Rattus norvegicus: one gene and its partner. The protein of the gene in region 1 purifies or fractionates together with the protein of each later gene. This does not show direct contact. Links are inferred from orthologs where the notes say so. Each region holds a gene or a part of one and is shown on either strand. Other genes may lie near its edges.

Evidence for each region.
Region 2: the proteins of Wwc1 (region 1) and Amot purify together in Homo sapiens (affinity purification with mass spectrometry; 3 studies listed by BioGRID and IntAct, with this or other methods). This does not show direct contact. The link is inferred for Rattus norvegicus from reciprocal best matches to the Homo sapiens genes WWC1 and AMOT.

The regions. Positions count from the first base shown.
Region 1 is NC_086028.1:20,955,638-20,959,677, reverse strand, and holds the start of Wwc1 (protein KIBRA), read left to right. Parts: upstream 1-1,240; 5' UTR 1,241-1,622; coding exon 1,623-1,741; intron 1,742-4,040. UniProt on the Homo sapiens protein: Regulator of the Hippo signaling pathway, also known as the Salvador-Warts-Hippo (SWH) pathway.
Region 2 is NC_086039.1:113,835,047-113,839,285, reverse strand, and holds the start of Amot (angiomotin), read left to right. Parts: upstream 1-1,439; 5' UTR 1,440-1,876; intron 1,877-3,870; exon of another isoform or gene 3,871-3,911; intron 3,912-4,239.

The DNA.
Region 1 (4,040 bases):
CTTTGACCCATCAGAGGAAGTCTAGAGGAAGAGAGAACCCTCCCACTCTTGGGTGGTGAGGAGCTCCCTAGGATCTGAGATCCCTGGCTTTGAAGCTAATATTGATGGACTGGAGGAAGAACTATACTCACCCCCGATGTCCCCAGGGCATTAAGACTTGGGGAGCCCACCCTAAAACGCCTTGTCTAGCAAAAGGAGCTGAAGCCCAAACAGGGGATTCCCACACAGTACAGGGAGTTGACTGGTTACTCCCCAAATGAAGAGATTCTGACAAGGCACTGGACTTCATTCTTCTAGTCCAGCTTCCTGCCTCAGGCATAGTTAAATTTGCACTGGGGAAACACCAGACCTAAGAGTGAACAGGCAGAGGGCAAAGCCAGAGGATTCTTGGCTGGATGACACCATCTTCTTTTCCCCCTTGATTCAGTATTGTTAGTGTCTCGAGGCATTTACTTACATTCTTGTTTTTTGGTTTGCCTTTTCTTTTTCTTCTTTTTTCCTTTCTTTCTTTCTTCCTTTTTTCTTTTCTTTCTTTCTTTCCTTCTTTCTTTCTTTCTTTCCTTCTTCCTTACTATTAATTTATTTATCCCCTGTGTTTGCTATTTTGACGTGGCCTGGAACTTTTAGATTTAAGCAATCTTTCTTCCTCAGCCTCTTGAGTAGCTGATAGGCAGGTGCACTTCACTATGACTGGCAAAATATGTCCTTCCTTCTCCTCCCTTGCCACCCGCTGGAAGTCCTCTTAGGGAAGCAGATCCATTGCATTCCTAATTTTAGGGACCCCAAGGAAAGCCAGCCACATTTGCAAATTACGGAGGGGAGGGTTGAAACAACACGGGGAGAATTGAATAGGAGGGAGACAGATGGTGTGAGTGCTGGGGGAAGGGACGAGAGATCCTGGAAAACTTATGTTCGCCGATTTGCAAGAATGTTTTCACTTAACCACTTCTTGCCTGACTCCTGAGTCTATCTCACAGAAAACAGGGTGTGTCAAGATTTGGGGCCACATGCACCAAGAGCCTGGACATTCGGTGTAGAGAGAGTCTAGCCTCCTGGGGCAGAGCAGGGGTCGTCGGCGATTGGGACTGTCCCACGAGGGGGCGCGTCTCGGGCTCTAGGACCCGCCCTCGCCGCGCTGGGCGCGGGGAGGAGACCCGGGAACCCCGGAGCCCGGCGCTCCGCCTCCCGTTTCCGGGGCAGCGCAGTTACCTGCACCGCCGGAGCCACACCTGGCGGAGGCAGAAGTCTCGGGGCGCGCAACGGGGCGCCGGCAGTGGCTGCGAGAGGCAGCGGCGGCGTGGAGCGCAGCGCGGGGCGGCTGGGGCAGGCAGGCGGCGGCTCGGGCCGCTCTCCCGGCTGGCTGGCCGCGTACTCGGGCCGGCTGGGCGCCGCGGCGGGCGCACATGGCAGCGTGAGAGGCGGGCGGCGCGGGGCTGGGGCCGCAGGGCCGCATGGACAGAGGCGCCACTCCGGCCGGCCCCCGTTAGGGCCCCCGATCCGCGGGCGCCACCCCCCGATCATGCTGCCTCGGCGGCCGCCTGGACCCAAAGCGGCCGGCCTGAGCCGCTGAGCCCCGTGGCGGCCGCGAGCTGCATGGGGGAGCGCGGGCCAGGCTCGGGAAGATGCCCCGGCCGGAGTTGCCCCTGCCGGAGGGCTGGGAGGAGGCGCGCGACTTCGACGGCAAGGTCTACTACATAGATCACAGGAACCGCACCACCAGCTGGATCGACCCGCGGGACAGGTAGGACCCGGAGTGCTCCGATCCGGACCCGGCACCGCGCCTGGGCCGCACCTGCCCTTGGTGTGCAGGGGGAACTCTGCGTGTCTCTTACCAGGTCTTAGTTTGCCCCCTCTCCTCACCCTCACCCCTCCTCGAGCTGTACTCTTGCCCTAAGAGCTGCAGAGAGGGGCGGACGCCAAGCGGACCGCCCGCCGCCAGCCCCAGGTGGAGGACTTAGGCCCTGGTGGCACCTGCCCAGAGTTTTGACCTTAAGCTCTAGCAGGGTTCCCGACCCCTTTAGAATGCGAGGTCTGGCCAGGGTGAAGGCAAAGACCAAACGAGGTGAAGGGAATCTCCCTTGGGGACTTCCTTGGCTGCCAGGGGGTGGTTCTGGCATGGAGGGGTGGTAGGGAGCCCACCGGTCGCTGGGAGACTACTGGAGGAAGGACATTCTGTTTGGCGAAGAGAAAGCTGCTTTTTGACAGGTGCTTCGTTGGCTGCCGAGAAAAGCTTCGGAGCAAGTCTGGGGAAGCCGGAGGTGGGAGGGGAAGGAGGGAGCGCGGGGGAGGGCAAAAGAGGGAGACTGGTTCTCCAGGAATCTCACAGCAAGTTGGAAGCTGTTAGGATGCAGATAGAGGTGAGAGGCCTCTAGCCTCCTCTTCTCGCTTTCTTCCTTCTGGGGCCAGAGGCTCCTCAACAATCCTGACCTTGGTGGGCACCTCGCTGGGTGCGTGTGGCTCTAGCTCTTGCTGAGGCTGGTAGAGTCTTACCATCCCAGACTTCCTTCCCACTTGCAGCTACTCACACCCGGCCCACATCTGCCCTGGGAAGAGGGGAGTGGTCCTTTGCTGAGAAGGTGTGTGGTCAAAGTGTCCTAGAAATGCTGGATTTTCACCTGGTCTGTGACCTTGGGGGTTTGGTGCGGGTGAAGCCACCCGGGGTGATTTTGTTAGACCTTTCATCTTATGGGGTTCAGATGAGGGGATCTGAGAAGTCCAGAATGGGGTGTGTATCAAGATGAGGGTGAATGAGGGGGGAAGGGGGCGGGAGCAGAACGCAACGAGTTCACTTTCTCTTGAGTTCATTCATTCATTCGTCCATTCATTCGTCAATCATTTCTTGAGATCCTACTCTTTGCTCAGCACTAGTCTTCATGCAATTTGGAAATGAACAGTTTAATACTACGGAGTGTTAGGCAGGCTGCTTTTAATCTTTTGACCTCAGTTTCCCTTTTGTGTCCGACTAATGGTGAGCTTGGACAGGAAGGAGTAACAACGGGAACTCAGGAGATAGAAAGACAGGCCAGCCAGGGCGACATAGTGAGACACTGTCTCAAAAAAAAAAAAAAAAAAAAAAAGTTGGAAAGTTTATAAAAAAAAAAAAACCGCAAGCCCAATTCCTTCCCACGTGCCTCACCCCACCTCTTCCCCTCTCTTTCTCTGTGTGTGTGTGTGTGTTTAATAACGGTGTGTATGCAGGTTAATAGTGCGAATGCGTGTGGAGGTCAGTGGACAACTTGTAAGAGTCCGTTTGCTCCTTTCGCTTTATAGCTTGACTCAGGGGTCAAGGTCAGTGGCAAATGGCTTAACCCACTGACCCATCCATCTCACCAACTCTCAACTCCATTCCCCACCTTGTTTGTTTGTTTATTGCTTATTTACTTTGGATCTTTGAGATAAGATCTTACTGGGTAGCCTTGGCTGCCCTGGAGATCTGCCTGCCTCTGCCTCCAGAGGGTTGGGATTAAAAGCGAGTGCCTGCCATTTTACCCAACTTAATGTTCCCGTTTTTAAACTTAAGAGAAAAATCTGAAACCCAGGGATTTGATTTGCTCCTAGTGTTTGCCAACTACGTTGTCCTTACACTCTACCTTTCAACCTCTAATTCTCTCTGTTCTTCCGGTCTCTGTCTTCCGGCCTCTCAGAGCAAGGACCCCCCCCCCCGGGAGGGGGGTGTCTGTAACTGTGTTGGCAACTTGTTACTCTTTAGAACAAACAACTTAAGTTTATGTGTCCTACAACCTAAGTCCCTGCCGCTGAGGCCAGTGTGCTGCTAGCAGTAGGGTGGTGTGTTCCTGGGTGAGTACTGCTTTGCCAACCTTGATGACGACCATGCATCTGCTGAGGGAATGATACAGCACAGAATACTTCTCAAAAAAAAAAAAAAAACCCAGCCAACCATTGCCCTTGGAAGAGGGCAAATAGGTAGCTTCCCAAGAACCGATCTGACTAGAGGATAATGAGCCAGGTTGCGGGAGTTGTGGGCCACATTTGTGACTTTCTGGTACATCTCCCTGAACTATTGCTTAATACTTGCCTTT
Region 2 (4,239 bases), on another chromosome or scaffold:
CATACATTTCATTTGACTTTACCATCAGTGCCAGTTAGAACACGGTACATGCCTTATGGCGTTTACTTACAGATAAGAAAGTTAAGGCTGAGAAATTAAAGTTCTCTAAAAGTCACCCAGCCAGGTAATATGTGCTAGAGCCCACAGTGAATTCTTTCTTTGGTCCCAACTTTCTCATTATTTTGCTTCCCTTTAATGTTTGTGTTTTCACTTACCTAAATGGTAAATTGCAGATTCCAAACCCAACCCTGTGTCCTGGGATACTGTAGTACTCAACTCACCGTGTATTTGAGCAGTATCATTTTTTTTTTCCACTGGAAGGAAATGTGAGTACCACAATGACACTTCATGTATTGTCCGTTCCTGGTTTTATGAACTAAGAGGTAAGTTACCAATTCCCAGAGAGCTGGACAGTGCTTTAAATATAAAGTTATATCTCAGTTGGCTAACGCACTGTCGCACCCTTTTAGGATACTGAGAAGTCAAGCATCTCATCTATCCCCAGCAGAAGCTGGGGAGAACAGAGAGCTAGACAATAGTCTCTTGTTTAGTTTTAATAATTTTAAGGGCGGGATGGGATCAAAGGATAAGATTGGCAACTAAAGAGACCAATCATAGGCCAACAGCAGTCGTGACTGGCCAATAAGTAGATGTAGAAGAATGGTGGGTGGGTCTTACTAAGGGCCGGCTGTTCTAAAGTAAGCACGCCCAGCCAGGCCAAGAGGTGGAGCTTCTCCTGAGTCCCGCCCATCCCTTGGCTCCCTAGTGACCGGCCTCCGGGAGGGGGACATGGACCCTTCTAGAAATTTGGGGCAAGAGGCTGACCCGGCAGGATGACGGAAGAAAAAGGGGCATTTTGTTGGTTTTGCCTTAGGTGGTCAAAGGAAACAAAGGGGGTAAAAACGAAGGAAAGCTGTTCTTGAATTTTGGGAAGCTTTGGCTCCGTGCTGTTTTTTGTTTTTGTTTTTAAATGCATTTCTATGATTTTTTCTTCCTCCCGCCCTGGGGCTGGGAGCTGTGCTGACTCTCCCACGCGTCTCTGCTACTCTGCTGCCATAGATTATTGAAGTCTTTGAACAAGAAAAATCCAACCAATCAACCAAATGTCCAAAACCAAAAAATCAAACCCGGTGCCTTTCTTTCTTCTCCCGCTTTAATTCCTGTACACACTATCGGAACTACCATCACGGAGTAGAGTCCGCCGCGTGGGAGGACTGGAGAGCCTGCGCGTTATCCCAGATCTCTCCCAGACTCCTGATCTTAGCCAACGTAGCAGATCAATTGTTTGAAAGTTCCCCGCCTGAAGGCCGCCTGACCTCCTGGGGCGCCGCCTCCTCCCCTTCGCCAGAGTCCAGCGGGCCTCCACCCCCCCCTGCCTCCCGCCCTGCTGGCCCCGCCCTCGGCCCGGCCCATCCCATCTTCCAGCCCCCCTTCTTGTGGGCGGTCCTAGCTGCTCACCGCCAGAAGAAAAGCCACCGTGCCTCCCCTGCTTCTACCTCTCATCCTTCTCTCAGGAGCTGCCTTCATCGCAGTCACGCCCCTTCCTTCCGAGGAGCTTTCGGGCTGCGTTCGCTGGTAGACCCCTGAAATCACCCCTCCGTCTCCCTTCTCTTTCGTCCCTTCCCTTAGTTCTCCTCGCCTTCCCCCACTACCACCACCTCCAGCCTATCTCGCTTCTCACCATCCGCTGCTCCACCCTCCGGCCCGGTATCCTGCTCGTCCACTGCCACCAAGGAGAGACCGGAGGGAGCAGCGAGGTTGGGAGTAGCCGGGACCTGGGGCTTCCTCCCAACCCATCCCTGGCCTCCGGCCCGGGACCAAAACCGCTTGAGGCTGCAGACCGAGAGTCCTCACCTTATCTTCATTGCTTTCAGAGGTAGGAGAAGCGTCCTTACTTTTGCGGGGAACTGGGGCAGTAATCTGTAGTGCTGTGAACTTGATCACGTCCTTATTTGTGAGTAGGTTTTTGTATGTGCCTGTGGGGTCGCCTGTATGTTCTACTATTTTTGCCGTTGGCCTTGAGTTTTCTGAGATGTGCAAGAAGTTTATTTAACGCAGTTTAAAAGTATTGGTTCCTGTCCTACTTTTAGGAGGAGATGCTGGAGGGGTACCATTGCTTGGTGCTACTTTACTTCCTCCCTGGGCTCTTGTAGGTTCCTACAGATTTGATCGCTTAAGGAACTAAGGACTTAACTAAGTTAGGGACTCCGAGGAGGTCTACCTTCAGTCCTGCAATTAATTGGGACTCCGGAGTCTAACTTCAGTCCCGCAGCGACTAAGTTAGGGACTCCGGGATCTATCTTCACTCCTGCAACCAAGTTAGGGACTCCGGAGTCTAACTTCAGTCCAGCAACTAAGTTAGGGACTCCGGAGTCCAACTTCAGTCCAGCAACTAAGTTAGGAACTCCGGAGTCCAACTTCAGCCCCGCAACTAAGTTAGGGACTCCGGAGTCCAACTTCAGCCCCGCAACTAAGTTAGGGACTCCGGAGTCCAACTTCAGCCCCGCAACTAAGTTAGGGACTCTGGAGTCTAACTTCAGTCCAGTAACTAAGTTAGGGGGACTCTGGGCTCTACCTTCAGTCCTGCTTGAGGAATTACCCTTATCTCAGAGAGCTAGATGGCTTTCTCCTAGGTGCTTACTTGGGTTGGGAGCTCACCCTCCCTGACCCAAGGCCACGAATTCTTCAAGTTTTAAAATGTGGAAGTAATGTACCACACAACTATTCGCTTTATGGACGCATGTGTAGTGGTAGTGGTAGTGAGACTCCGGAGGCGGAGATTGCCGTTATTTGCTTCAAAAGGTCAGAAGATTTTAATAAGTGGTTGAAACATCACGAAGGTGGCTGGTTTAAGGTCCAAGCCCCGGCCACTGTACTTTTGTTCATCAACAGCAATACCATCTTCATAGATAGATGAAGATAGATGAAGATGAGGAGAAGGAGAAGGAGGAGGGAGAATGACAGATTTTATAGACCGCAAGCAGTCTCTGGTGATTGCCTCTAATAAATCATAATAGGCGAATAATTTACAGCAAGGGACTAAATACAAATTAATGAAAGATGAAAGGGATAGATTTGAAAAAGCCTTTTCAGTACTGCCCCTCACCTCCAGATGTGGGGAGACAATTGAAAACTTAGAACTTTTTTCCTCTCATTTAGAGAGAAAGATAATCAACTGTAATCTTTAACGATGAAGGGCTAAGGATATATGTAACTCTTCTTGGGTTGGCCTTGTGAAACCTCTTCCTCAGGCCAGCTTTGGGAAACTACCTCAGACCTTTTAGTACCCTCCTTCAATAGCTAAGAAAAGTCTGAAATGGCATTTTGGACACAGGATAAATTTTTACCTGTCTCCTACTTCTCTTCACTTGGGCAAGTAAGTGCCACAGGCTTTATACTAGTTGGGTTGAAAGACTTGTTCCCAAAATGTCCGGAAGCTGTTGCTTATTCTTTAGAGAATAAATAATTTACATATTTACATAAAATCTTTGGTTGATTTTTAACAGGGGGCTGCGGAAGATGCAGGCAGGGCATCAGGGGTGGCCAGGAAGGTAGAGAAGGAATGCTACAGTGTTACATAGTGACGATTTTAAAGGCTATCATGTTTCAGATCAGCTGGGAGGGAAAAGCTGGCCGGACCACACTACATTTTAAAACGGGCCTGGGACATTTTAATAGCCAGGTGGTTGTAGTGTAGTTACATCTATTTACGGAAGATAACTCAGGTCCCAGCTATTCGGTATGGGTTTGCCTGGTGTCGTTTATGGGCCCTTTCTGGCGCTACATCATACTTTAGTTTAAGTTCCTTTGTACTTTGGAAAAGTTTGTGTCTCTGTTAAATTGAAAGTTAATTTTCTTTTTAATTCACAGCCTAGGTACAAAGTAATCCTGTAACTCCACCTGTACTTAAAGTAAGTTTTACATGGACATCCTGAATCCCTTTTACTTGACAAAAAATAAAGTTTAGAAAGAGATTTTCGCAATTCATATTTGTCATTGAGATTGGGACAATCAAATGTATTTTTTTAATTTATGAAGCAAAGTTTAGTAGACTAATGCATAACTAAGGCATTTTTGGAGGTCCATTTTCCTCTACTTTTGTATAGAGTGACAAGGACTTTCGAAAGCTTTTGAGAATGGAGTAGTAGGAAGATAGAGGGATGGGTACTTTGACTTTGAGGTCCCACTGAGTTGCCAGCATTCTAAGTGGGTACATCTGCTTCTGGGCCTCTCCTAAGA